3 linked regions of the Oreochromis niloticus genome follow. The protein of the gene in region 3 purifies or fractionates together with the protein of the main gene of each other region. This does not show direct contact. Links are inferred from orthologs where the notes say so. Each region holds a gene or a part of one and is shown on either strand. Other genes may lie near its edges.

Region 1 (9,668 bases), on a different chromosome or scaffold from region 3:
ATCAAAATCTGGCTACGGCTCCATACGGGCCTCTTCATTTTGGACTGTCTTGTTTATTTTTAGAATCTACTGGGAGATCTTTCATCCACGCTTTGAAACAAGCCTTGAATCAAACTTTGTTTCAGCTCTCTTTCCCCTTCCAATAATGCACATGAGACCACTGTTAAGGATAACTACTCTCTTTGACATCATGAACATCCACAAGTAGAAAAAGACTGTCTGAAATGGACTATTGAGAAAAGTCTGAAGCCTGACCTTTTGGCTCACAGGGATTACTATTATTGTTATTGTTATTATTTGAAGCTTTGGCCATGTTTAACATATGTATCAATCACTGTAACACAATGTAAAGTGGGTCCCATTAAATAAATATAATTTAGAAAATGGACCTTGTTGGCAGCAGCGTTGACGCTCGGTCTGGCATCAAAAATGAAGAGTTTATGTGACTGAGCATTAGCATCCATGATCGCCTGCAGGTATTTCTCATCCTCTTTGCTGCGCTTCCCGTTCACACCAACCATCGGCTGACTGCAGCGTGTCACTGTTGCCTGGCTCTCTGGATGGATCCATGACAACACCTTTAAATAATGTGTAGCAGAATATCAGCACAGACTGTCCTGCAAGCCGGGCGCACACACAGACAATTATAGTACTGCTGAAAAAAACGGTCACTCACCGGTATCCTTCCCTTTGCTCGGAAGGCAGCGACTCTTTTCAGCTCCTCGTCTGGTATGTTAACAGGCACTGCCAGTGTTGATGGGTACGTGTCGCACAGCTCATAGTGATCGTTTACTTTAGTTATCCTCCAGCTTTCATTAGGTATACCCTTGACAAAAAAAAAAAAAGGACATAAGCAACCGGTTTTATGAGCGTACTTTAACATTTAACAAAGCATTCTGCATAACTTAAGTACCTGTCTTTTATACTCTGAGAGAGCATCATACACCTTCCATCCATTTTCAGGAAACACTTGCCCATATTCAAAGGCAAAGATTTGCTGTGGAGAGTGGGGGAGACATATTTCAGGTGGTTGTACACGAAAAAAGGTTTGTGGACTTTGTGAAAGACCTGTGAAAAACTAAGTACACTTCACGATTCAGTATCTTATACAACCATCTTTAAGAGCAACAATTTGAAGTAATCATTTTCTCTATGACATTATCAGTGTCTTGCATGATGGTGGGGAATTTTACCCCACTGTTCTTGAACACGTTGCTTCAGGTCACTGAGGTTTGCAGGTATTTGTTTAGGCACAGCATTTCAAATGGGTTGAGGTCTGGACTGGCCATTATGTTTTACATTTGCAGCTGTGCTTGGGATCATTATCTTATTACATGACCCAATTAGGGCCAAGCTTTAACTGTTGAACAGATGGCTTCACATTTGACTCTAAAATACTTTAGTTCTCTGGCTCTCCTCCACAGCGTGTCTTTGTCCTGTCTTCCTCCCCTAACCCCTAACTGGTCACAGGTGATGGGTGCCCCTCCCTGAGCCTGTTTCTGCTGGAGATTTCTTCCTGTTAAATGGGAGTTTTTCCTTCCAAATGTTGCCAAAGTGCTTGCTCATAAGGGGTCGTCTGATTGTTGGGGTTTTCTCTGTATTATTGGAGGGTCTTTACCTCATAATATAAAGTGGCATGAGGAAACCGTTGCTGTGATTTGGTTCTATATAAATCTAACTGAACTGAAATTGAACTTGGTTTTTCAGAGGACTACGAATATGTGTTTCCCGGTACTGTATGTGCAGGGCTAAAAAAGTCAGCAACAGCATTGCTGGGCAGTACTTACCAGCCCATTGGAAACAGGAAAAGCGAATTTCATCAGCACTTCAAAAATGGACTTCCTGAGCGTGTCCTCCATTTGTTTGTGTGCAAATCGTAGATTACGCATATCCTGTAGAAATGCAGAGCAACAAATCAGGGAAAAACTCATGGGCTAGCAGCTGTATACAAGAATCATTTCATCACAGTTAAGCGTTATTACCAAGAAAGGTAACGTAGAAGTAGATCTTTGTAAAACTTCACTGTTTCTTAATGGGCTATCTCTGGCAGAGATTACACAGCTCTGTCTCTGCTTCTCAGTTGAATAACTGTAAACTACTTGGCTATTTTGCAACTTAGTGATTCTGTAAATCAAAAACAAAAGAAGAAATTCTTTAAAACTTTCACAAGCTTACTCACTTTGCACACCAGCCCATAGGACACATCACGACTCGAAGCGTTTCCAATCCTTTCCACGCGACTCACCACCCCAAGAGGCAAGTCCAACATAAATGTTGACTCCTGGAAATCAGCCAGACATTAACAACAACAAAAAAACCTTCAAAATACAAATTAAAAATAATCAATAACATACCCTGTCCATAGATTTAAAGAATAGCCTGTAGTTGGTGACAGTCACAGTTCCCCTCAGAGCTCCAGTAAAAGGACAGAAGTAGGTGACATCTTGGGCTATGAATAAAAACAAGAGGATAAGGTGATTAGTTTGCTGCATTTTTGCTGTTTTGATGGGTTGTAATTGCAGCTGAATGGAAACCTACCCATGTCTTGCACGGTTTCATTCGGAAGCAACTGTGGTTCTTCTTTGTCTGAATCTCTGATGGCCTGCTGGAAACATATCATCCACTTTAGTTCTGAGTGGTCTCTTGACTGGAAATTTTACTCAAACATACAGGATAGGATGGGTAAAATTAAATGTGTAAAATCATCTACCTTGGCAGATATTTTGGGCTTGACCTGCAAAAAGAAGAGGAGAGCCACGCTTCAGTTTTTAAATTACGAAAATATATATTTTAATAGAAAAATAATAGCGGTGGAACACATGCAGGTCACTAACCCTGAGCTCCGGGGAAAACTCTGCAGAGGTGGACACAGAATCCGAGGACATAGCAGATGGTGGCTTGGCCTGGGCAGAGCGGTCAGAGCGAGAGGTGGAAGTGCTGGTGGAAAGTGACATGACACAAGTGAGAACCATTTATTAGGTGCAGTCTTTTCTTTTTGGGGGGAGTTTTTTACGTATTTACACGTATACGTATATGTAATGACAGAAGACTCAATGACTAAAAAAACAGAGACATCTGTTGAGATTGGCCCTTTGTTTTCAGACTGAGAAAAAAAAATTGTTAAATGTATATTTTTCATTTTCCAGATCCACTCTGATGGATCTGGGCATGCACATTGCCCTGAAGGAGTCGTATAACTGAGGTTAAGTTTAAAATTATACGAGATACTAACACTAAAAATGCAAAAATGTAACATTTTAAAACAGATTACAATTCCGGCAGCATACTCATCACCTGGTGACGTCAGGGCGAGGGGTTAATTTCTTGTGTCGGACTACTGATTTTACCACGTGCACACGTACCTGACCTTGCAATACTACTCACATGGAATGAGCTACTAATCCCTTTCTCATTTCTCTTAATAGTTTTTCTATATTCATTTGTATGTGCAAAAAATATTACCTTGGAACAGCTGCATTTTTAAGTACCTCTGAACATATCTTAAACTTAACCTGAATGATCAGACTCCTACTTTATATGCATGTCTATAAAGTAATTGTCAGAAATGAACAATATGCATATACTTGATTAAACTAAATTATGTTCTCAGTTATAATTAGAATATCATCTGGAAACTCCAGAATTTTGATCTATCTGTATTAGACTATCTACTGGTGTTTCTGTGATAGAACTTATCATGTTTACTAAGTCCAACATGAAAGTTGAATAAGATTTGCATTTTCTTTTTTCAACTAAGAATTTTATGTCAAAAAGCTATTCTACATGTTTCTATTTTGCAGTACTATAAAATACAACTATATCGCAAAAGAAACTGAAACTAGCTGTTTTTGTAATGAGATTTTTATTTACATATTTATTTACTGTATTTTAATTAACCCATATTGAGAGGGATTTTTTTGTGTTTTGTTTTGTTTTGTGTTTTTTTAATTGCAGATCCCGATTCAATTTTATGGTAAGAGGAGCCAGTGAAAACTTCAGGCTTTCATTTATGTCGACGGAACTTCTTTTTTAATCCATCTTCAAAAATATCTGATATACGAAACTAAAACGTCACAGCAATTATTAGATATATCCAGACCACAACATTTTGAGGCAAATCAGACGTGGCTGTGCAGAAAATGTTCTAAAAATATTTGATGATTTGAAAAAGTGTTTTTAACTTGTCTGCCCCACACGAGCGCAAATTGAGCTCTATGTTGTCCATGGACTGAAATAAGTTTGACACTGTTTGGGCAAACAGTCTACTACATCGAGGCTCTGTTAGCTTCCGTTTGACATTTCTATCACATCACAGCTTGAGTGATTACTGGAGCGGATCGATAAAATTGCGTTGTCCTAATTTACAGTTCAAGCTGCGTTGGTCTCGTAGCGCTCACGAGGACACCGTCACTGGTGGATAACATTAGTCACAGCTGAAAGCTTACAAGAAGTGTACTGAAGTTAGACACGCTTAACTTCAGCTATAAAGCCTTAATAACTAACCCCTGCCGATAGTGTCAAAACTTTTGGCTAGCTTAGCGGTGTCTGGCGGTGGGTTTAGCTACCTGGACAATGAATCTACACTCGGCTGTCGGGAAGAGGAGCGCTTCGAGCCCAAGCTGTCGACACTCCCGCTCTTCTCCATGTTCTCCTTCTTCAAGCGTTTGGATAACCGGTATTGCGAGTCAAGACTTTACCGCTAAAGAGCCACTGAACGGTTTTAAATCCCTCCTCCGAGTGAAGCAAATCCCCACAAACAAAAGGAAGCTACCATCTTTTCCCAGAAGCCTCCCAATCCCCGTCACAGGCAGGATCGTTGGAGGGCGCGCCCTCTGCTGTCTCTCTGCGGAACTGCAACTGATCGCGTGCAACGCTTTTCTCTCGTGCCAAACCTCTGGCTACGCAGAGTGGATGATAGGATAATGCTTCTTATTTTAATGAAAACGTACACATTGTCTAATTATCCACCCAGCGTCCATGTGGGTAACGTCATTGCTTTGGCTCCATAATAATGAATGCTAGAATAATGAAATGGCTAAACTGCAGTAAAATTAACTTGAACTTCGTGTTTACATTCGTGTTAATGAAAGACTTAATGCAAAAACAATAGAAATAGTCACATTCATGTGACTATAATGCTTCTTTCTATTGAATGAGATGAAGCTGATAATTACAAATGCAAAAAGGATTTTAGACAATTAGTCTACTGTATGCAGGTAGGTTTAGTAAGAAGGGAGAAGCTGCATCTGCATGTAAATACACCAAATGTGCTCAAATTGTTCAACCATTCTGCACAATTACAGACAATTCATTAAATGAGCAATAAACTGGGAAAATAATCTTGATGAAGTGGAACATGTAGTTCAGATAAGATTTAAGACATGAAACTTGCACCTTTATTTTACTGGAAAGTTTTGTGTGTATATGATAACAGTATCCTGGTGATTGATGTGCTGTTGATTTTTCAAGTCAGTTTATTTTTAAGGGTTCATAAAGCAGTTTAATATGAAGACAATTTATTGAAAAAAAATTAATTTGACAAGAAATGCGACAGACAGGGTGTATTGTGCCTTTCACCCAATGACAGCTGGGATGTGCCTGATTTAGACTTCTGCAGGAAATCCAAGTTGTTCTTTCTACTGCAACCAGAAACCCGTCTTAACTCTACGCTCTAACCTTCCATGTCATTCAGTTGTTGCAGTCTGCTTCGACCTGATGTGTAGCTATATTTCTCAAGTGGTGCAGATCAGGTTGCGGTGTAGGGTTAAGAAGGCTTTCCGGTTACGTTACAATTTCCCACAGAAGTCTAAATCAGGCTCCAGCGCCCCTGTGCCCTTGAATAAGATAAGCAGAAAAAAGTCGATGGCAGATGGCTGCATAAAGAAATAAAGGCTTGACTGCAGATCTCTACACTGTTTAAAATGAAATGTTTGTGTGTGTGGAGTGGCTAAACAGAAGGAAGACATTTCCATCTGATGATCTGACTGGATCCTAATCTAACTGTGCATTTGTGGAGATGCTGGTTTATATAATCTCTGCCAGTTTATTGAAAAAAACCCAAAAGAAAATAAATGCTTGGTCACATTTAAAAACTGCACTTAACTTTTGACAAATTTCACTCAAAGATGTCACGTTGACACATTTATATACAGCATGACTGTACAGATGGATACGTGGTTAATAGCATGGATAGATGGATGACTGTACAAGTATTAATGAAGTTGTATACAGAGTTTATTTGAAAAACCATGTACCCTCTGCAACAGAGGGTAGAGGAAGGAGACCAAACACATTAGATAATAAAAACAAAAACAATACAAATAACACAGAGGAAGTCCTCTACTTTACATATTTCTCCATAAATTTTTTGTGAAATTCAGAGCGCAGTGTGTCATTGACAAAGCGTTTCTCCTTCCGTGCCTCATCCACTCCTTTGGCGCAATTCTTGAACACTACGTCATCATCCCACCTTGAATAATATTAGGAAATGAAATCAAGATTAGATTTAAGAGGTCTTTTTCTCAAATACAAAGCTCATCCTGTGGTTATACTGTGGGTGACTGTGTATAAGTGAGACATACCTTCTCTTGACTCTGAATGTATTCTGTGTCTGGTTCTGTTGCTGCTGTCCAGCCAAATTAATCAGTGGATTGCCGCTCAAGATATTTTCCATTCGAATTCTCTCCTCCTCTGCCTTTTGCTCTCGCTCCTAAGATGGAAAAAAGAAAATTTTACTTAATACAAAGAAATAATATTTCTTCTGACCAAATGTAACGTCTTATTTTAGTTAGTGCAAACAGAACAGCCTAAAACACAGTTACTTTGCGTTCTTGCTCTTCAGCACGCTCTTTTTTAATCTTCTCCAATTCAGCCAAAAGAGCTGCAGTGTCATCATCATCACTATCTTGATCAGAGTCCTCGTCCTCATCATCCTAATAAAATAAAAATCATTGTTAAGGGAGATTAATCAGTACTAACCACTACTCAAGTTAAGTGCCCAAAATGTCTTGCATTGTAGACACTCACATCAGTGAGAGGATCATCAGCATCAAGGTTAGCAGCTGGGATCTGATCCAGTCTTGGCCTCTTTGAAGATGACGAAGAAGATGATGATGATGTGGTGTGCTCTGGAAAAAATAAGACCAACATAATGCCATATGTGAGAAAATAAATATACACTAAAATATATTTTACATAAACAGGAAGTCTAATTTCTGCAGAAAGACCAACCTCTTGGTCCCCTCTCTCTGGTCTTTTCACGTGCTGCTACACGCTCCCTCTCCTCCAGCTCTCTACGAAAGTCACGGGCACGGACCTCCTCAGGGGCATCCTGGGTAGGTTGCCTGCAGAAGGGAAAACATTAGCAGATCAATAAATTGTAATTTTCGTCCAGAACGCTTTCTGGAACACTTTCACCAATCTCACAGTGAGCAGACAGATAATGCAGTACAAACTGATCCGAAAGCATCTTTCCTTCTAGCTAACCAGCCAGCAGATCAGGCAATGATAAAACTCCATTCACATTTGATCTTCTGACCTGTACTTGATCTTTGTGTGACCTGGAAGATCTCGACTGGAGTATTGCTTGGAGAGAGCACTCAAATCACCTTCTCCTTTACCCCTCCCTCCTCTTGCCGGCTCAAATGTTGGTCTTGCAGCTGTAGTCATCTTTGATGGCTCTGCAATGGGACAAAGAAGACATTAAACCTATCAAACAGGTGGAAAAGTTGCAAGCAGAAAAAGCAGAGCAGACACGGTGTCCATAATCAAATTGTAGTGCCCTACAACACAACACGCTTTTACTCCACTTATGTGCCTTATAGAAAGTCAGAAGGCTCATCTTTTTGGTTTTTAGACAAGCTGGTACAACATACCCTTTCCCAAATATCAATTACCTACTCATTAAACCTCAGTGGTGATCAAACCGCTTATAGTTCACGTGTATATCTATATTAGCAACGTAAATAACAGTTGAGAGGCATTTAGATGACAAGTTACGTAATTTTCCTAATAAATATCATTTGTTCACCTGCTAAAACTCCAGGTCAACCAATTAAACCTATAATTAACAATTTTCTGATTAAATTGAGACTGTGGCATTTTAAATACTTCTTTGTAAGATAAATATCAGCTGCTAAAAGGCAGTAAATGAAAAGAACAAATTAGCCTGCTAGCTGCTAAAGCTAAAACGCTGCTACGCTAACTTCCTATAACAACGCCGATGAGGTTGAAAACGACACTAATTCGAGCCTTCGGTAAGACGGATAATGTTTCAGAGAAGTGATATTACAGCCAAAAATAAAGGAAATTTAAAAAATTCATTAAGCAGTATTTAAAAATTAGGTTTAAAGAAACAACACTTACAAAGCCGCTACCACACGACGAAAGGAACACCGATACAACAATCAACGTCACTTCCGGAAAAAAAAGATGCGTTCAGAAACACTCAGAGAAAATAGCGTGCGAAAAATCAGAGATTTTAAACTTCTTACATCTCAACATAGCGTTGACACCACTAGGGTCTACGCGTATAACTTAACAAATATGCTACAGCCTCTCTAAATTTTATTTTGGAAACCACCACTTCCGAAAGACTGATAGACTAAATAGACTGCAGGGGCATCAGCGGAGGAGTGACCTGTCTTCTGAATAGTGCGTTGTGTTACAGTGAAGGAGTTAAATGAGGATGCTGTTAAGTGCAACGCTCAAACAGATGCGTAGAAGATGCATTCAAAGCAAAACCTCCCTGTAATGGTCACACAAACAACTCTAACACAGTACAGGGTGGGCCATTTATATGGATACACCGTAATAAAATGGGAATGGTTGGTGATATTAAAGTCCTGTTTGTGGCACATTAGTATATGTGAGGGGGCAAACTCCTCAAGATGGGTGGTGACCATGGTGGCCATTTAGAAGTCGGCCATCTTGGATACAACTTTTGTTTTTTCAATAGGAAGAGGGCCATGTGACACATCAAACATATCGGTAATGTCACAAGAAAAACAATGGTGTGCTTGGTTTCAACATAACTTTATTCTTTCATGAGTTATTTACAAGTTTCTCTTTGTGCACAGCCACTGACATGTCGAAGAGGTTAACACGTGAGGAGCGGATCGAAATTGTGTTGATATCTGGTGAACGTTGTAACCGGGTCATTGCAGCAGATTTCAATGCAAGACACCCTACGAGATCACCCATCTCCCATGCTACAGTTAGCAAACTGCTTGCTAAGTTTCGTGAAACTGGTTCAGTGTTGGATTTGCCAAACTGTGGACGCAAGAAAACTGTCACGAATGAAGAAACATCAGTGGCTGTCCTAGCTTCATTCAGCAAGAGCCCACAGCGTAGCACTCGCCGCATGTCACTGGAGAGTGGCATTAGTCGAACATCCCTTTGGCGGATATTAGCTACTCACAAATGGCACCCTTACAAACTCCAGCTACTGCAGCATCTCAACGAGGATGACCCAGATCGGTGCACAGAATTTGCAGAATGGGCAAAACAAAAATTGGAACAGGACCCTCAGTTCACGCAGAAGATTTTGTTCAGTGATGAGGCAAACTTTTATGTGAATGGTGAAGTTAACAAACCAAACCACCGCTATTGGTCTGACACTAACCCACATTGGATGGATCCCTCCAAGACTGTTGGACCAACAAAAGTGA
Region 2 (9,854 bases), on a different chromosome or scaffold from region 3:
TGTACCCCAAGGCTCTGTCCTGGGTCCTTTACTTTTTATCATTTATCTCCTACCCCTAGGTAATATTTTCAGGAAGCATAACATCCAATTTCACTGCTACGCAGATGACACCCAGCTCTGCTATCCTCCAAACCCACGGCTCACTCCACACAGTACCGCCATACTCGTCAATGCTCTTGTCACATCTTGTTTAGATTACTGTAATTCTCTTCTCTATGGTCTACCTCGTAAATCTCTCTCAGTTAGTTCAAAATACAGCTGCTCGTATTATTTCCAGAACTAGATCCACTGAACATATAACAGCTGTTCTTAAACAGCTCCATTGGCTTCCAGTTCATCTCCGTGTCAATTTCAACATCCTGCTTCTTACTTTCAAAGAGCTTCATAATCTCGCTCCTCCATATTTATCTGATCTTCTCCACACATACTCACCCCCCCTCGTACGCTCCGCTCTTCTTCAGCTTCCCTTCTGTCTGTTCCACCTGCTCGCCTGACTACCATGGGACTCAGAGCCTTTAGTTGTTCTGCTCCGAGACTTTGGATGCACTTCCACCAGATCTCCAGACCACAAACTCTCTCACCACTTTTAAATCACGTCTCAAAACCCATCTATTCAGCATTGCATAGACCTGATCTGTCTTAGTCCATTTTTTTCCTTGCTCAGCTTTCATACTTGTTTTTATACTTTTATGCTTTTTTTTTTCTTATTTACCTTATGTCTAAATGTTATTTTGACATGTTTTTATATTGTATTGTTGCTATTGTTCTTGTGCTATTGTAAGGTGACCTTGAGGCTCTTAAAGGCGCCTATAAATAAAATGTATTATTATTATTATAACAATCCAGACCTAGGTTTGCTCAGGAGCTTCACAGATCCAGTCATGATTCCTTCCACCCATTGGCATGATTCCCAGTCAAACAGTGAATTATTCCCACAGCTTGATGCTCCCACCACCGCGATGGCCTTCACATGCAAACACTGTTTGCTAACTTTAATGTCTCCAATGGGAAATTGATTTGCAGCGAGTCCACTCAAAAAAAAAAAAAAATCCCCTCTTTAATTTGATTTTCTTGTTGAGGCACTACAGTTTGTCTGGTTGGTTTTTGCTCTATTATAATGGAGTCAGTTTCATACTTAATTAAGAAAGAAAAAAGAAAGCTGAAGAAAGGCACAGAGGGATAAAACAGGAAGGAGGAAGTACACTGAGCAGGGAGGAGTAGCAGCTCTGGTCCGTCTGCAGCAGGAGGCTGATTTGGTTACACACTGTCACACAGTAGCAAACTGCTCAAATTTGCATCACATACAATATTTATTCAGCGCACGTCCTAACACCGTTACAGTTATTCGTCTAATTTGAACACTTGCTGTATCACAATGCTACTGCTGAAGAATCACAGTCAAGAGGCAGCTGTTGTTTTATCCCACGCTACAAAACTCCTGTGTGTGTGCAGTGCGCTTGTGTTGTAAATGTGTTGAAAGGACAACAACTCTTACCCTGCGATTCAGCCTCTTGGACACCTGGAGGTTAAACACACCACATGGACATGAAATGGAAAGCACTAAGGTGACACTCTGGTTTCAACCCAAAGGTTATCTTTAATGTGTGGCACATCAGTCTGTGTTTATAACAGAAGGATGCAAATAGACAAGCGCACAAAAGCAACCTCCAAACAATGAGGTTCAAAATTCAAGCAAAGACAACAAGTGACAAACAGCCGATACAAGTTTAGACAAGCTGCAGGAAAGCTGCGCTTCTAACTTTGTTCTAATGAAGTGAGCCTTAAATCAGAGGTGGAGGGTTTGATCTGACACAGTGGAGGTGAATTCATTACACACATTTCATTAGATGTGCACAGAGGGGTGCCTTTTTAAATTCAGCAGCTATTTGTCATCTCACAGACAGTGTACATACCACAGTGGTGACAGTGAAGTCTGTGCTACTCTGGTTACATTTATCAAAACTGTGATAAGTTGCTGGAAATGTAACTTATCAAAGAAATAACACAACTAAGACTGTTCAGCTCAGACTTTTCAGCAGCTTTAAGCACAGAGTTTGGTTCCAATCTGGATTTTGGGATGGAAAACTCCAGTTCTTTGAATATTTGTCAGCCTTATTGCTCAGGTGGAACGTAATAGCTGTAGAAGATGTAGTAAGGTGATGGGTGCCACTTTTACAATTGCTTTATCATATTTTATTGTCAGCGTTTGCAAAGATCTAATGTTAAACAACCGGGGGCCACAGTTTGGTCTCTCTCTACAGGTCTAGTGTAATATATTACACTTGCAAACAATACAGCTAAACCCTGCTGTGGGTTGTCTAAACTACCAGAGATCTATATGAGCAGCATTGTTTAGTTAACAAAGCACATTGCATATAATGTGCAATACATAGAACATTACACCTCTAACTGATCTGAGGTCTAAAAGAGAAAAACCAATATGAATGAGCCAATATGCGCCTCGCTACAGAGAGGTGGTTGCAGAGAGCAGGCCGCTGACAGACAGAAGCAGTCGATAACTTGCTCAGTAGCTTCTCTAAACAATGACGACAGACTTAATCATTCATATTGACTTAACAGACAAAACTAGGCGCCCACACTCAAAGCAGCTCACAAGGAGAAGTCTCCGAGACTTACCATGAACTCTGGTCTTCTCCCAGCCTATTAGTTACAAAATACACACTGATGAGAATCACTGCCAGCAGTGTGTGTGTGTGTGTGTGTGTGTGTGTGTGTGTGTGCTGTGTGTTGTCTACCTTGATGTCCCTGCTCCCAATGTCTGGTTGGACTGATCCTGAGATCTGACTGGAGATTGTGGCTGCTATTAGCTGTTTACACCATTCTACGTGAGAACCTGTTGGACTGAACACAGAGTGAAACAATGAACTGAAGCTGAACTCCAGATTTCAGGCTGACACTAATACTCAGAATGACAGTTTGGCTGATATTGTTCTTTATTTTACTTTTGCTCAGTTTTCTCCCTTTTGTTGCACAGAAACAAATAAATGAATACATTATTTTAAATAAATAAATTGTGTTAGAAAGTTCTTTGAGTTCTTTATCACACCACTTTTAACATCATCACTGTAAAATGAATGTGTTGAACAGATAAACATCATCTGACAGCAACAATGATGTTCTGCTGACTACATGTTACATATGAGAACGTTCCACCCTGTGTAGTAATTAACAACAATATTATTAACTAATATTTTTCTAATATTTTTTCAACTGCAAATGATGTCCTCAAAGTCAAAGTTTGTCAAGGTCTGTTTTATTTAATAAAATAGAGTTACTTCACTTCAGTTGTTTGTTTTTACAGCAAATGAGATTGTTAAGAAAACCAACACTGCCACTAAAAGCTGCCACAAATGTTGATGGACTGAGTCTGCAATCAGACTGGTACCAGTCTGCAACTATACCGGGTAAAGCTGCCAGTTATATGCAATCTGTCTCTGATATAAACTGCATTTCTCTGCGAGTGATTTCAGTCAGTCGAAGTCAGACTTTTTTGTAGTATTCACAGAGTATTTTCATTTATTTAATAAAATGTTGTTTTTTGGATGCAATATCTCCATGCAAAATTTGATGATACTATGCTGTATTGATTTTTCTCCCAATCCTAAGCCAGACAGTACAACGTCCTGTCTTTGGGCTTTGACAGCGGTTGTCTGAGTGCTGGAGACAGACGGTCCCGTCTCCTGGACAGTCCTGAATATTAAGCCAAGAACAATATATCAGGAAAAGCAGCTCATATGAAGCTTGTCAGTGATAGCAGATAAACCAGTGTCTCTGACAGACTCAGTCTGGATTGGAGCAGCTTTGTGGTGTGAATGTCATGGAATGTTAAGGGGGAGGAGTTACGACTGTGTGACGCTTCCTCCAGTTTTAGTACAATGGGGGGGGCGATGATAACCATAAATAATACATAAAGAATATGGCTCCTACCCAGCGCAACGCAACTCCACGTTTCAGTGTCGGTATTGTTTTAACAGGAGCAACATTGTAACATTTTTATCAAACTACAAAAACATCATGTCATATCTCCCTCAGGTGGCGGCTTCCTCTGAGCGGCAGATACGGATGTTTAACTCGGTGTCTGCAGGCTGCGTGGCCATTCCTGTGCATTTCCTATATGCTGTGTTAATCACGTGATCCTATTATTTTTTGTCAGCTAGTGTATCGCTACTGTGTTGTATGTTGTCATTCCAAATCTGAAATGAACTGGTAACACGCTACATCATTCCATGATGAGTGTTTTGTCACGTTGGAAAGTTTGTCCCAAGCACTGGTCTGTGGATCGATGCCGAGATGAAGGTGTGAAGAAATACTACTAATATTTCATGTTACTGGTGTACAGTGGGAAAGCGAGACAACCATAAGTAACAAGCTGGGCATCGGCGTCACGTTTTCTCGTTAGCGAGCCTGCTTACCTGTCCAGGGTATCACCGGCTGCCGCGCCGCAAGTCGGCGAGCCCCACGGCTTTCTGTTCGCCCCTGCACCGTCCCCAGCGCCGGCACCTCCGGCCTGTTTCTCCATCTGTCACACAACTGCTTCGTTTCTGGGTCACCGGGGGCGGAGATGGATGGTTTCCTCTGATACAGACAAGGGATGCGGATGAAATTAAAGCTCGGTGTAATCCCAGTGTCCGCTCCCAGCGGGCTGTAATGGTTCTTTAAAGACTCCGAACTGTGTAAAGAAACTAATCAGAGGCTCGAGAGCGGATCTCACATGCAGTGGTTTCTTCTGGTTTGGTTGTTTGCACTTCCTCTTAGTCGCATCTATAGCCGCAGCATTGTTGTTCGCAGTGACGTCGCCACAGCTTCTACCAGTGCTAAGGATGCTGTAGCACCGTCCTGACCGATAGGCGTCGCCATTTAGACCAAACTGCCACATCAGCGGAGGAAGAAGAAGTCAACACGGAAAGGAGAAAAATGCCACGAAAGGGTGTAGTTATCAAACGTGTTCATCAAATAATAACAGAATACAAAAAAACACACGAATAAACAAATAACCAAATATTTTATCTTAAATGAACCTGTCTGAATTTACCAGGACTTACTCTACATACTGCTGGCAGAGACGCGGGTAACTGCTTAATAAAGATATTACAACAAGATTCTAACACAGGTATTACATTCTTCAAGGCCAACTGATAATAAACATAGGATAGAGCATACAGCGTATATATAAAGAAAATTTGTTCTTGACTTTCAATATCTTTTTTACAAAAGCTCTGAGCTTTACTAACCAGCTTAAACATCAACCTGAAAAATTCATCACCCTGATAAATATCAGTAATTGTCTTAAAACGAACTACTTTCTTTTGGGGTAATAAATGAAATGACAATTAATTGGTTTTAACTTTTTCTCCACACTTGAAAAATCTATCAAATGATATTTTTTTCTTTTTTACAGGAAGAGGAAAACATGCTTTTGTAACTAGTAATCTCTGGATTTTTTTAAACACCTGTGCTGTCTGGCAGGTTTAGCAGGCACAATCATGGTCTGGAGAAAATAGCAGAGGAACAGCAACAATGGCTGCAATCATAAATCAAAATCAATCATCAGCCTGCGGCCTGGGCTGTCCTGGTGCCATATGCACTTATGGACACCTCTATGAAGCAGGAAGCAGAGTTGCAGTCTTACACGCCTCTCTGCAGCTTCTCTCCTCCTGCTACCCCCCCAAAAACCCATCTCCATTGAGACTGTGTCAGCTCCCAAACAGACAAAAAACAAACCAAAAACCAGCAACAAAAAACTTAAACATAAAAAATCACAAAGAACGACCAATACAGGTTCCACATCTGAACCAAAGAGTAAAACAGTGTGGATTATTAAATATTAGGTCTCTCTCCTCCAAGTCTCTGTTAGTACATGACTTAATAATTGATCAACAAATCGATTTACTCTGCCTTACAGAAACCTGGTTGCAGCAGGATGATTATGTTAGTTTGAATGAATCAACACCCCCGAGTCATTCTAACTACCAGAAACCTCGAAGCACAGGCCGAGGGGGCGGTGTGGCAGCAATTTTTCACACCAGTCTATTAATTAACGAAAGACCAAGACAGACTTTTAATTCATTTGAAAGCCTGATGCTTAGCCTCGTCCACCCCAGCTGTAAAACTCAGAAACCAGTCTTACTTGTTACCATCTATCGTCCACCTGGGCCTTACACAGAGTTTCTGTCTGATTTCTCAGACTTTTTATCTGATTTGGTGCTCAGCTCAGATAAAATAATTATTGTGGGTGATTTTAACATTTTAATGACATATGATTCTTGAGTCTTTACCTTCCAATATAAAGCGTCTTGAGGCAACTGTTGTATTTTGTCGCTGTATAAATAACATTGAATTGAAGTGAGCATTAATGACAATACTCTTTTGGTTTTTCCTATTTTTAACACTTGAAAACTACGTCCACTTTGTGCTTTTATAAAATTATCAGCTATACTACAGGATATGACGTGTGTTTTACTGCTCAGCTCAGATAAAATAATTATTGTGGGTGATTTTAACATCCATGTAGATGCTAAAAATGACAGCCTCAACATTGCATTTAATCTGTTATTAGACTCAATTGGCTTCTCTCAGAATGTAAAAGAACCCACCCACCACTTTAATCACACTCTAGATCTTGTTTTAACATATGGCATAGAAACTGAACATTTAATAGTGTTTCCTGAAAACCCTCTGCTGTCTGATCATTTCCTGATAACATTTACAATAATTGATTACACAGCAGTGGAGAGTAGACCTTATCAAAGTAGATGTCTTTCTGAAAGTGCTGTAACTAAGTTTAAGAATATAATCCACCCACTGTTATCATCTTCAATGCCCTGTACCAACATAGAGCAGAGCAGCTATCTGAATGCTACTCCAACAGAGGTCGATCATCTTGTTAATAATTTTACCTCCTCACTACGTACGACTCTGGATACTGTAGCTCCGGTGAAAACTAAGGTCTCAAATCAGAAGTACCTGACTCCGTGGTATAATTCTCAAACATGTAGCCTAAAGCAGATAACTCGTAAGCTGGAGAGGAAATGGCGTGTCACAAATTTAGAGGATCATCATTTAGCCTGGAGAAATAGTTTGTTGCTTTATAAGAAAGCCCTCCGCAAAGCCAGAACATCTTACTATTCGTCACTGATTGAAGAAAATAAGAACAACCCCAGGTTTCTCTTCAGCACTGTAGCCAGGCTGACAAACAGTCAGAGCTCTACTGAGCCAACAATCCCTTTAACATTAACTAGTAATGACTTCATGAACTTCTTCACAAATAAAATTTTTATCATTAGAGAAAAAATTACCAATAATCATCCCACAGATGTAATATTATCTACAGCTACTTTTAGTACCATCGATGTTAAGTTAGACTCTTTTTCTCCAATTGATCTTTCTGAGTTAACTTCAATAATTAATTCCTCCAAACCATCAACGTGTCTTTTAGACCCCATTCCTACAAAACTGCTCAAAGAAGTCCTGCCATTAATTAATTCTTCAATCTTAAATATGATCAACCTATCTCTAATAATCGGCTATGTACCACAGGCCTTCAAGGTGGCTGTAGTTAAACCTTTACTCAAAAAGCATCTCTAGACCCAGCTGTCTTAGCTAATCATAGGCCAATCTCCAACCTTCCTTTCATATCAAACATCCTTGAAAGAGTAGTTGTCAAACAGCTAACAGATCATCTGCAGAGGAATGGCTTATTTGAAGAGTTTCAGTCAGGTTTCAGAGCTCATCACAGCACAGAAACAGCTTTAGTGAAAGTTACAAATGATCTTCTTATGGCCTCTGACAGTGGACTCATCTCTGTGCTTGTCCTGCTAGACCTTAGTGCAGCGTTCGATACTGTTGACCATAATATCCTATTAGAGTGATTAGAACATGCTGTCGGTATTACAGGTACTGCACTGCAGTGGTTTGTATCATATCTATCTAATAGACTCCAATTTGTTCAAGTAAATGGAGAGTCCTCTTCACACACTAAGGTCAATTATGGTGTTCCACAGGGTTCAGTGTTAGGACCAATTCTATTTACATTATACATGCTTCCCTTAGGCAGCATCATTAGAAGACATAGCATAAATTTTCACTGCTATGCAGATGACACGCAGCTCTATCTATCCATGAAGCCAGGTAACACACACCAATTAGTTAAACTGCAGGAATGTCTTAAAGACATAAAGACCTGGATGGCCGCTAACTTTCTGCTTCTTAATTCAGATAAAACTGAGGTTATTGTACTCGGCCCTGAAAATCTTAGCAATATGGTATCTAAGCAGATTCTTACTCTGGATGGCATTACCTTGGCCTCCAGTAACACTGTGAGGAACCTTGGAGTCATTTTTGACCAGGACATGTCCTTCAATGCAGATATTAAACAAATATGTAAGACTGCTTTCTTCCATTTGCGCAACATCTCTAAAATTAGAAATATCCTGTCTCAGAGTGACGCTGAAAAACTAGTTCACGCATTTATTACTTCCAGGCTGGACTACTGCAATTCATTATTATCAGGATGTCCTAAAAACTCCCTGAAAAGCCTTCAGTTAATCCAAAAGGCTGCAGCAAGAGTCCTGACAGGGACTAGAAAGAGAGAGCAGATTTCTCCAGTATTGGCTTCCCTTCATTGGCTCCCTGTTAAATCCAGAATTCAAAATCCTGCTCCTCACATACAAGGTCTTAAATAATCAGGCCCCATCTTATCTTAATGACCTTGTAGTACCATATCACCCTATTAGAGCACTTCGCTCTCACACTGCAGGCCTACTTGTTGTTCCTAGAGTATTTAAAAGTAGAATGGGAGGCAGAGCCTTCAGTTTTCAGGCCCCTCTTCTGTGGAACCAGCTTCCAGTTTGGATTCAGGAGACAGACACTATCTCTACTTTTAAGATTAGGCTTCAAACTTTCCCGCAGCAGATGGCCCCGCCCCTCCCTGAGCCTGGTTCTGCCGGTGGTTTCTTCCTGTTAAAAGGGAGTTTTACCTTCCCACTGTCGCCAAAGTGCTTGCTCCAAAGTGATTGTTGGGTTTTTCTCCCTTTCTATTATTATAGGGTATACTGTACAATATAAAGCGCCTTGAGGTGATTTTTGTTGTGATTTGGCGCTATATAAATAAAATTGAATTGAATTGAATTGAATTGAATATGTTCGAACATGCTATTTGTTATGGACAAACTGTGGTTTACACAGAAGTGCGCTCAACAGAACACTGCTCTGGTTCAGATCTGGTAGACTGTTCCAATCACCTCCCTCCGGGTCTCATTGTTGTTGCCCACATGAGTGTTGAAGTCTTCCATTAAGATGACAGAGTTCCCATGCGGAGCACTCTCCGGCACCCCACTCAGTGACTCCAAGAAGGCCGGGTACTCTGAACTGTTGTTCGGCACATAGGCCCAGACAACAGTTAGGACCTGTTCCCCGACCCGGAGGCACAGGGAACAAACCATTTTGTCCACCAGGAAAAACTTCTACATACAGGCAGCAAGCTGAGGGGATACTCAACTGTCCACCCGAGCCCGCCACCTCTCACCAACAGCAAGTCCAGCCCCTCTCCAGGAGACTGGTTCTGGAGCCCAAGCTATACGTTGAGGTGAGCCCGACATATGTAATCAGTACCTCTCAATCTCACGCACTAACTCAGGCTCCTTTCTCACCAGAGAGGTGACACTCCAATGTTTTACAGAGTATCTGTAGAAAATGTAGAGTCTTTGTAGACTCCCACAAAGACTTCCTCCACTCACTCTGATTTTTATCCATCAGCCATCATCAAGCTGCTAAATACATTATATTTGGAGTGGCTGTAGAGCAGGTCACCTACTAACTAGAAGGTTGGTGGTTCA
Region 3 (10,725 bases):
ATGTGTTTCTGCTGACCGTGATCCCACCGTAATCAGAGACCCAGCTTCTGTGTGCAGTAATGTGGTGGTCATCATTAAAAGGGAAAATCCAAGAGGGGAAATACTCTGGAACCTGAAGCTTTTCCAACTTATAGACTCAATCTTTTTATACTTGCCCCTACTCCTTAACTATGCCAATAGTTGTTACTCTTAAATCTTAGTGGACGGACTCTGGCACAGAGATTTCCAGGCAGTGGCAGAAGGTTTCCAGTGTGTGGCCTCAGAATCAAATCTTTGCATTTTGCAGATGACGTGGTCCTTGTGGCTTCACTGAGCAGTGACCTCCAGCTTGAGGAGAGGAGGTTTGCTGAGTGCAAAGCAGCAGGGATGAGAATTAGAGAATGGGAATTGTTTATGTACATTTCTAAACTCATCGATGGAAATGAGCTGCAAGTGATCTGAAGAGTATGGATACAAAAAGCAGAAATACGCTTCCTGTGAAGGGTGTCTGGGTATTACCAGTGATCAGGTGAAGATCTTTTTTGGATGTTTTGGAGAGCCACTACTCCTCAAAAAGAGCCAGTTGAGGAGGTCGGGGCATCTAGGATGCTTCTTGGATACCTTAGCGGGAGGAGGCCCAAGAACGGACCCAAGTCACAATTCGGCTAGCTTGGGAATGCTGGGCAGCTAATCTCCACAGATTAGCTGGAAAAGCTCTGCTCTGCTTGGACCGCTGTCCCCACGACTCAGACAAGGAAAAGTGTCCAAAAACAGATGGATGTGTGGATTCATATTACTAGTATGCCTGATAGTCACACATCTAAAGCTGCAGACTTGCATCTATCTGGGTACCAATATCATTATCTTATATTTAAAAGACATCATCAGATGGAAGTATTTTGCTCTTATGGAAGGTCTTTTTTCTTTGTTTTGTTTTTTTCCTGGACTGTGCTTGTTACATAAGCCGTTGCCCCACATCCAAACTCGAAAATCCAGACCGTAGAGTTTGGGCTCTGTGTCTGTGAAACACATTCCAAAAGCAGTTTGATTCAATAAAAAGTGATGATATCCCACCAATAAATTGTTTCAGAAAAGCAGCTGGGCAGATGCCTCTTTTTCACTTGGCAAACTGCAATTTATGGGGAACCGCACGCCAAACCGTATATAAACCTTTGCCAGTAAAGGGAAACAGCGCCTTAATGCAAAAGGAAAAAGCCAGGATACACTGCGGGTTCGATACAGGCTGCATCCTTCAAACACGGCGCATTCACATTCCAACTCATTCGTGAAAATAATTCCAGGGTTTATGGCTCATGACACTGGCCCCCAGGGACACAGACTCAGGTCCAATTTCTAAAAGAGGAATCTGCCGGTTATATTCCTTGCTATCAGACTGACGACTGCACATAATTTTTTATATGTCAGAGGTACTTAAATGACAAAAGCGTGTGCCAGCTATAGGTTCAACCAACAGCAACAAACTCTGGATTTAGAAGGTGCCAAACTTCAGTGTTTTATTGCTTGTTTTAAATCACTTCAGTCTGGTGGACCAATCACACAATAAGCGTGATTTTAAATATATTTCATGAATTGGGTCGTCTGCCTCGTAATGAAAATATCCCAAATGGTCTGGCTGGATTTATGTTGACACTCAGGGGACACAGAAAAGAAATAAAAGAGCAATTTAAGCAAGTTACTGAAACTGGGTCATGCGATTCCAAAGAAAAACAAAAAACAGACCTTAGTAACAAACCACAGCACACGTGTTGACATACTGTAAACATTTTCGGGCTAAATGCAGTGTACAGTATTGCAACTTGAGCCTTACCTACTTGCATGCATGAGCTTGCATGAGAAAAGCTCCACTGCCACTAATTTAAATATTTACCTGACTTTAAAAGCATTAATGTCATATTATTACAATAATAACCAACAGCAATTCATTATTTTACAAGCTGGAGTCTGATTTTACTACAAACTGTGAGCCAGCCTAAAACTTAACAGATTGTGGGCTCAGTGTTATTTCCAGCAGATCCATTCGTAGTAATCTAACAATGAGAAGTGGGTCAGGGCAGTGGAGCAAATGCCAGCACAGCACAGGAGGGTTAATGAGGACCCACGTAGGGATCCCTGGTTTGAATTAATGAGCGAGGTGGCCAGGAAAAATCTGCCGTCTAGACGAGCTGCTGCACATTACCGTGACTAGCACGCCTTCAACAAGAACACTCTTCTCACTCAAGTCATCGCTGTGGAGAAGTTATCTGTTTATTTTCCTAACAAATCTAGAAGGCAGTGCAATTTTCAAGTTCTACCGCTTACAGACAGGGGCGTTCCTGCAGGACTGGTGTCCAAATCATCACCCGATAGGAATACAGTTCAGTCAAGACTTCGGGAATATTTTTGTTCCCCAGAGAGGCTTCCACAGAGATAAGACATAATCAGCCACAACTTGTGCTAGTGGATTTTTACAGCTCTCTCTCTCCCTGCAGCTGACTTCTTCATCATCAGCAGGCAGGCAAAGAAAAGACTTAACTCGTGGCCCCTGCGTCTTCTTGTGGCGAGACCATCTGAATGTGAATCCATTCAGACTCTTCGGGTGACGCCAGGAACATTTTGTCCCCGGAGCACAAAATATTCATTTGTCAGTTGGCGCTGGGGTGCACAGAGCTGATGAAAAGCACTGTTTACCTATTATGCATAGCAAGCGATGGTGACTGAGGGGATTCAGCTGCTCCAGCCCCCTTCTGAAGCACATGGCACTGAACGGATGCCATTGAAAAAGTGTCCGGGAAACTTTCTTTTCTACCCTCAATGCAGATTAGATCAGTTTTTTAAACTTTCTCCAGGCAGCTCATTATGCATCATTCTCACAGGATACTTTTAAAAAAAACAGTGCATCATGAGAAGTGATAAACTGCAAAGTACCATTCATGCCCTGTGCACAGCACGAACAATGCGTGCAATGCCAAGATGTTTTCATGTATTTATCTATGAATGCTTGGAAATGTGTGCAAAGCTGTTTCCTGTCTTGGATGAAAAGAATGTGAGGCTGGACCTGAGGCACGGCTTGTAAGTGGAAGCATGAGGAGCTTCCTGTCCCACAACAGTGGAGAGGGAAGAGGAGGGAAAAGGACACTGGCCCAGAGCAGGCACTGCCCTTTTGTTGCAGCTGTATAATGTTCCGCCCATCATGAACCACTTCAGCATTCTTCCAGCAAATAAATAAATAAATAAATACATACAACACAACAACTCGCTGACAAGTGTGGCTACAGCGGATAAATACAGACCGGAAGCAGAGCATGCAGGACAGCCGAGGTGCAACACCAAGCCCCTTCCCCTCCCTACCCAATTTGAACCCACCAAAAAAAAAAAAAAAAAAAAATCCACAACATAGAAGCAAACCGGCTACCAATAGCAATCCTGACCTGGCTTGAGTAAGCACACAAATATGATAAAGGAGGAGCTAGATTTTGGTTTTATATGGCTGAATGGCCCCTTAGACCTGATAACAGGATCACGATCAACAGGGCAGGATGTGACAGATTTTTTTTTTTTTTTTTGAATCCACGAGAAGTTTCAGCTGATCCAAGTCAAATATCCCAACTCCTCGTGTGTAAACATCCACTGGTGACTTAACATCACGCGTGTGCTTTCTGTGTAAACACACGCCCGCTTGATCATATTGAGCGGGTGGCCGGTTGAGGAGGAGGGAGTAAAAACCAAAAAGGGAGAAAAAGTATCTCCCAGTCTCGCCTTGTAGCCGTGTGGCTAAGCTAGCGCAATGCTATCTAGCATCAACATCATCACACACACACTGACTGACGGCCTGGACACAAACCTCAGCTCCGCCAGCTCAATCTGAGAGCCAAACTTACCGGCTTTCTCCTGATCGTATCCCACGACAATGAAATAGTCAGCCAATCTAGCCATGTCTGCCGCTTTTCCCGAGATTTACCAACACAATTCAGCATTTTTCCTTCTTCCAAAGCACAGCCATGTTTGACAGAAGGAGTGTCACTGCGCTTGCGTGCAGGAGCGGGATACATCCATGGGCGTGGGCCCTCTCGAGTTTACAAATACAGCTCTGTGCTCCAGTAGAGACTCGTTTTGGCCCTAAAGCACTGTTTCTTTTTATATATCGAGGGTAGCCAAACCTACAGCCACCAAAACCAAAAGAATACTATATTTTACTTTAACTGTGTGAAGTTTAGGACATTTATTTTTATTTGAACGGCCTCAAATCACAGCATAAGTCATCTCAGGGCACTTGTAAGTAATTTACAGTATAACAGAAAAGAAACCAAACACTTATAATAGGAAATTTTATCTTGGCCACTCTTGGATTTGCTAGAGACTCTGTAAATAGAATAGAATAGCCCTTTAGTGTCATTGCACATGTACAACGAAATTATGAGTGCTCCACGCCAACTGTGCAGGAAAAAAATAGTAAAGACATCAGGAATAAAATAAATGGCAAACAGAAGAGAGAAGATATATACAGTAGTACTGCTCTAAAATACTAATGATTAAAAAAAAGAAACACACTTTCACTTTCACTGAGTAATGTAAAATATTTGCATCAGATTTTTAGTCAGTAGAAGTTTCCATGTTACTATATCACAACATGCTGTTTTATTATCCATGCTATGCTCTTTTTTTAGAATGGTGATTGTGATGTAACATCTCTTAACCAGTGGACTGTGTACAACCCCTTAACCTTAAGTGCACATTTGCCACTAGTCAGCTCTGTCTGAAGCTTAAACCGACAATGTTCTGATTTATTTTTACTTTTTATGCTACAAACTCCAACACCAAATGCAAAAATTAAAAATCCCCATGCAAGGACTATTCCATAGACTTACAAATTTAATGTAACATTAATTTTTTGTATTTGTTTTTGTTTAAAAAAGATGTCAAATATCGAGTTTGTGCAAAATATTTAGTATCCATGAAAAAAAAAAAGAGAAAAGGACAAGCCGAGTAGCACGTGTCGATGAGTAATATGTGAGTGAGAGAGTCACGCATCCACCACCACCACCTTTGCGGTCAACAATAGCAGGAACACAGCAAGCAATTTCCTCTCTCTTCTTCTTTTTTTTCCCTCGTGCTGTTCATCTGCTAGAAAAAAGACACAGGTAGTCAAAGAGTTGAACCTGTGGCAGAACACATTAACACCCCTTTTTTATATAGCGTTTATCACAGCACAAGAATGATCATTAAGTAAAAAGACCCCACACAACACAATGGATATTTCAAGGTAATAATTATGACTTATCTTTGTAATTTGTGCTTTTGGGGCTGACAGCCTCTTTTTTTTCCCCCTCTTCTCCCAAACATGACGACTGTTGCTCGGCTTTTCTGACACACAGACCTACTCATGCATTAAAGTATAAGGTTGTACAAAAACTGTCGGGTCATCTTACCAGGACAACATCAGAATGGACTTTCAAAAGATTGCTATATAAGGAGCCAAAAAGCACCAGAGGAGTTTTGTTGTCATGATTGCACCATCTCTTGTTGTAAACTCTGGTAGGGGAATTATTTGTCCGCTGGAGGCAATTATCATTGCAAAGTGCTTGCAAAACATTCTGCTTTACAACACATGTGTTTGTCATTTATGTTGTTTTTTTTTTTTAGTTTGAAATATGACACCAAGGAATGAGGTCTGAGATATAAATAAACTCAAGAAAGTTTTTAATTATAATGAGATACGAATTACAGGATGCTGGTGCGCTACAGGGGAATTTGAAGCGTTACATCGTCTTTAATTCAATTTGAGCTTTTCTTCCCCGTAATTGAAAGTGAAACAAGTATCAAAACTGAAAGAAATACTTGGACCTTCTCTGCAATGTTAATTTACACCATATCCAGTGCCTTGTGGAAATTTCTGTACTGGAATTTCTTTTCTGAAAAAAAGAGAACAAGTCGGTATTTACAGCATTTCACACACAGGGTCATTCTTGGGTGCATATTACCTCTTTGTGCTCATCTCAAATACAGACACATTAGATCTTCACTAGCCGTGGCTCAGTGAGATGAGATAAACAAAGTTTTAGCCTCCCCAGCTGGTTATTTTTTTATGCAATTTTATGTGATTTATTTATTTATTTTCGTCCTCCCTAAGGGGCTCGTAATAAGCATCTGTCTCACGAATCCCACAGACAGTTTTGATTTTCCACGCTGTGGAAATCTAAAACATCTTCCCGTGTGTTCATGTAAAAGCAACATGCAAATTTTGAGTTATAATGAAAAAGATAGAAATATAATAAAGTTCAAACTGATGAGACATGTTGGTATCACCTGTATGAACTCAAAACTTATTCTCTTTGCATTCCTAAGGTGAAAAGTGAGGTGAGATGACACACTATAAAGAAATCTCCGGACTGTTCTAAGAAAGCCTGAGGTAATATTGTTCATACATGACAGTTCTTTTGTAACTTTATTTCTAGTTAACTGTAAAATTCCATTTCACATTTATCCAAATAAATTTGTGGTGAGCCCATAGTCAAATATTTGCCTCGTACAAACAAAAACATAGAGCACATTCTGTTTATAGTTGGGAATACGTGTATTATTTAATCACTTATTCAGTTCAGTGTCTCTTTCAACGTCTCAAATTCATCATCCAGTACATTTTCAAGCAGACATGGAAGTTCACCACATCAGGGAGTGCCCTGAAAACGAGTCCGATGAAGCATTCCTTAAATTTCACTTCAAACAATTAGCCAGATGGACTGAAAAGAGCATTAACAAAAACTATAGCCGTGTGACCTTAAAGTCCAAATATTACAACTATAGTTCAAATATTACAGCCACAAAGGAAAAGGTCTTTTCTTTCTGTGATTAACACCCACTATAGAAAGCAGCCGTCTGACGTGAACATGTTGTACTCTTACTGGCACAGTGAGTGCACTGTTTGACTTACATAAATAATGACTACCCATTTGCTTATACACACACTTAAATTAAAAAAACAAACATTATTTTATTTTTAAGAGTCATGCTGAGGTGTAAAAAGAAAAAGAAAAAGAAATAAAAAAATCTAGTGCTGTGACTCGCTGAAAGCATGAAAGAAGAACACAATGACAGCAACTCTTAAATTTCCTTTAATGCTTCATGTTTAATGCTTTTTCAAATGCATTCCTGAAGTTTTAACTGCTGTAGTACAAGAACAACAGCGCAGCAGTAGTGTACTGGATGGGGTGGGGGTGGGGGGGGAGATGAGAGAATGAGTGAGTCAATTAGCCCCTCCTACAACTTTTGCATAAAGGCTCCCGTCTTGTGTGGAGGAGCTATTAGCAGAGTGACACAGCTGCCTTACAGAACTAGAAGCAATCTCAAGAAACCTGTGGAGTACTCTTTCCCAGCTGATTCTAGAAGAAGAGCTTTCTCATTCAACTAAAGAACAGAGACTAAGGTATGTGCACTTGCCTTTAAAATAGACATTGCTGTGATTTGTTATGCCACTAGCTGATGGCTTTATCCTTGCTTTTTTGAGGTCAGGGCACAAGTGTAGAGACAAGAACAGGTTATCTGTCTGGTTATATAAGCAGTTCAGCTCTTAATGTGTGCGTCTGTTAAGGAGTTGCCTTCAAGGTGCAAAGCATCCAACAGGGGCAGTATATCATGTGCTGTTTATCATATTATTGCACATAATTTTGCTGTTTTGTTCTATTTAATCGGGTGACTGAATTGAATTACATTTGTTTGTGAACTATTTTTGCCCGCTTATTGGGAGACTGTGTCCTTCACAGTACTGGCCAGGGGCCCAAAGCATGGTTGTAGGTTTACTTAGCCCAGCAAGATCTGACCTTAGCTTAACTTTCTAAATAAATGAATGATATGTGCAAATAACTTGGCTTTTGGACTCTTGTGTAAGCAAGCACACTTATTACAGTATGAAGGAGTCTAGCATGGATAGAAGGAGAGCAGGAAAATTGTATAGCTAAATATTAATAAAAATGTACGAGTGACTAACTATTGATTTTTCTTTTTTTTTTCCTTCTCCAAACAGGAGCCAAAATGAAATTGATCTTCCAGTCCTTCATCTACTGCTGTTTGCTGGCAACAGTAGCACACTGTGTGGAACTTGAAGTGAATCCTGAATTGAAAAAGAGGTGAGTTAACTGAGGAATGATTTTCATTTGAACCTGATTTAGGGTGTGACACTCAGCATTTGAATTATCTACCTTGGACTAATGGCATTTTTTCCCTTCCTCTTACAGGCTAAGCATATGGCTAGGAAGCAGACTGAGGCGAGATGTTGACACCATATCAGTAGAGAAGAGAGCAGAGGCTGAGCACCTTGTCAGACCAGAAGACATCAGGGATACGTTGTTGCCACATTCCAGGTAAGATCATGCAATTCTGACAGTTTTCTTACAAAGTAAATATAAATTCAAGAAATCCAAAGTCAGCTATTAACAGTTCAGGATTAAACAGTATAGACTCATGTCTTCTCCCTTTGTTCTCCAGCACTGACATCCACGTCCGAACCAAGCGGTCTTCAGGCTGTGCCCTGGGTACCTGCACAGTGCACGACCTGGCACATCGTCTGCACCAGATCGGCAAGTTGAGGGTCGGGAATGCACCTCCCCACAAGATTAGCCCACACGGATATGGCCGGAGGCGTCGCTCCCTTCCATCACACAGAGTCTCACTAAGGCAAGAGCAGGGCAGGCTGAGGCCCGTGTGGAGCACGACTGACTCACAAGTTCACAAGCTTGAGGCCCTCCTCAGACGGACATGAGCACCACTTTGCAACGGGAGTTGGGAACAAAAGCAAAGGAGTAGTGTCCTGCCTGCTCTGTTTTAAAATTCTTGAAGTGCCTCAGACTACAGCCAAGTATTCTCCAGCACATTTGTTCCAGGCTGGAGGACCGAGTCAGTGAATCAGAGCAAAACTGGCTGCAACTGAGTTTGTCCAAAGCTCGAGCCTTGCAATGAGCTCAGCAATGTACAACTTTCAAAGAAAAAAAAAAAAAACTGCAGCTGCTTATAGACACTGGATGGCACAGCATGGAGCAAACTACAGGTGCTGCTCTCTGCATGGCAGAGGAAAGGGAAGAGTGCTAATACCTGGCAAAGTGGACTCATCCTCTCGATCAAGGGGGAGGACTAATATTCTGGGACTTAACACATTTATTCCTCAAGGCCAAGACTTTGATAAGTGCTATCCTTTAAGGATTTGTGCCATTGTGTTCCATGAAACTGTCAGTACTTGTCTGCACTTTTCCATTTGGACTTAAAGTCAAATGAATCATCAGGAAAAGACATCTTCATCACAATGCCAAACACGAAGATAGGCTCCACAGCTCTAAAGCTATCAGTTTATATCAAGTTTTGGACACTGTATAAGGGAAAAATGCCTTAGATTATGTGATATATGTGCCAGTCCTTAATGGACTGAAATATACTTGAAATGTTGTTGTTTGTAAAAAAACACAAGTGCAATCTATATTTGTTTTTATTGCAGGTATGTGTATATATGAATTACTTTATTTAAATATTACATAGAAGTTACAGTAAAGTACTTATACAGATAGAGCTATTTTTGTACAGGAAGAAATATATATGGGCATTGTAGCTATTTGTCATTACTCTTGCAAACTGTGGTAATAGGATATCTGTTTTAGAGGTATATTATATATTTGTAAATGTGTTCTATTTTATTTGTGTCGCAGCAATAATGTCATTCAATAAACATTTTGCATACAAAATCGAAACCTTGTTTGGCTCTCCTTTCTTTGTGCTTCTGGCTTGTGTGAATTCAAAGTGGCACTCTGTCTGAGGGCACACTGTTACAGCAAAACAAAGAGCACCTGGACTCTGTTAAGTGTTTAAACGTTCTCATTAGAGCCCCCCTCCCTTCTCTTGCCGCATCCCCCTATTTATGATCCCACTCAAAAAGGGCAGACAGGTTGCCAGGCACATTCCTACTAGGTTCAGCTCCCATTTGCTGGCTCTCTCGACACCACAGAGCAGCCCTGAAGCCACTGGAGGAGGCTGAGGCTTTGGCTACATCTGTGTTCAATGGAAGATGTTTGGGACACAAGTCGGCTGATGCGGGGGGTTCCGGTTTAACATTCCTTCCATATCATCCCGATAGCTACTCACACACAGCACCGATCAAAACCTTCCCGTTCCAGCACAAAAACAACCGAACCGGATTTAAATCATTCAGATGTCCCATTTTCACCCCTCATAAACCATTTAATATATTCAGAAGTATTCACAACAATGAAATATGCACTTTTTAACACTCATTTAAAACACAGAGGGAATAAAAGATGGGTCTTTCATATCAGGTCAAAGATTATTGCTACTCTTTCTCTGTATTTTGAATGATAAGGTTCCTGCTTTTAATTTAGTGGAAATCCATATTACAGCTGTTCAAAGTGCAGGTAGAAACAAAGTGAGGATCACCGCTGTATTATGTGTCGTTCTATTGCCATCTAGAGATATTCGATGGCCATAACTGCAATATTATGGCATAATTTAAATTGGTATTATTAACTTAGGTTAGTCAGCTAAATTAAAATATTAATTAACAGTGTTGGGTGAGACCCTTCCTTTTTTATATTATTAGATTACAAATTTAAGTTCTGCCTATCCCGATTGTGAGCATTCAGGGTTTTTTTTTAAAATATAGTTTTTGTTGTAAAAAGTTTTCATTTTGAACGATTTAGATTTGTTTTCTATTTTTGAAGTATAGCCAATTGATACATTTCATAAGTAATATAG

Evidence for each region. The genes of interacting proteins can lie anywhere in the genome.
Region 1: the proteins of sbf2 (region 3) and mtmr2 purify together in Homo sapiens (affinity purification with mass spectrometry; 3 studies listed by BioGRID and IntAct, with this or other methods). This does not show direct contact. The link is inferred for Oreochromis niloticus from reciprocal best matches to the Homo sapiens genes SBF2 and MTMR2.
Region 2: the proteins of sbf2 (region 3) and mtmr1a purify together in Homo sapiens (affinity purification with mass spectrometry; 3 studies listed by BioGRID and IntAct, with this or other methods). This does not show direct contact. The link is inferred for Oreochromis niloticus from reciprocal best matches to the Homo sapiens genes SBF2 and MTMR1.

Annotation. Positions count from the first base shown.
Region 1 is NC_031975.2:10,965,804-10,975,471, reverse strand, and holds the start of mtmr2 (phosphatidylinositol-3,5-bisphosphate 3-phosphatase MTMR2), read right to left. Parts: upstream 4,849-9,668; 5' UTR 4,646-4,848; coding exon 4,566-4,645; intron 2,938-4,565; coding exon 2,835-2,937; intron 2,735-2,834; coding exon 2,711-2,734; intron 2,606-2,710; coding exon 2,539-2,605; intron 2,450-2,538; coding exon 2,355-2,449; intron 2,282-2,354; coding exon 2,180-2,281; intron 1,893-2,179; coding exon 1,788-1,892; intron 998-1,787; coding exon 914-997; intron 827-913; coding exon 677-826; intron 579-676; coding exon 390-578; intron 1-389. Other genes in the region: protein CWC15 homolog, read right to left, coding at 6,340-6,469, 6,582-6,709, 6,822-6,932, 7,027-7,127, 7,231-7,343, 7,538-7,668. UniProt on the Homo sapiens protein: Lipid phosphatase that specifically dephosphorylates the D-3 position of phosphatidylinositol 3-phosphate and phosphatidylinositol 3,5-bisphosphate, generating phosphatidylinositol and phosphatidylinositol 5-phosphate.
Region 2 is NC_031967.2:2,852,705-2,862,558, reverse strand, and holds the start of mtmr1a (myotubularin-related protein 1a), read right to left. Parts: upstream 4,849-9,854; 5' UTR 4,541-4,848; coding exon 4,434-4,540; intron 2,863-4,433; coding exon 2,757-2,862; intron 2,662-2,756; coding exon 2,638-2,661; intron 1,520-2,637; coding exon 1,496-1,519; intron 1-1,495. UniProt on the Homo sapiens protein: Lipid phosphatase that specifically dephosphorylates the D-3 position of phosphatidylinositol 3-phosphate, generating phosphatidylinositol. Could also dephosphorylate phosphatidylinositol 3,5-bisphosphate to produce phosphatidylinositol 5-phosphate.
Region 3 is NC_031965.2:20,473,657-20,484,381, forward strand, and holds the start of sbf2 (myotubularin-related protein 13), read right to left. Parts: upstream 4,019-10,725; 5' UTR 3,913-4,018; coding exon 3,858-3,912; intron 1-3,857. Other genes in the region: adma (adrenomedullin a), read left to right, coding at 8,005-8,099, 8,208-8,333, 8,458-8,731. UniProt on the Homo sapiens protein: Guanine nucleotide exchange factor (GEF) which activates RAB21 and possibly RAB28. Promotes the exchange of GDP to GTP, converting inactive GDP-bound Rab proteins into their active GTP-bound form.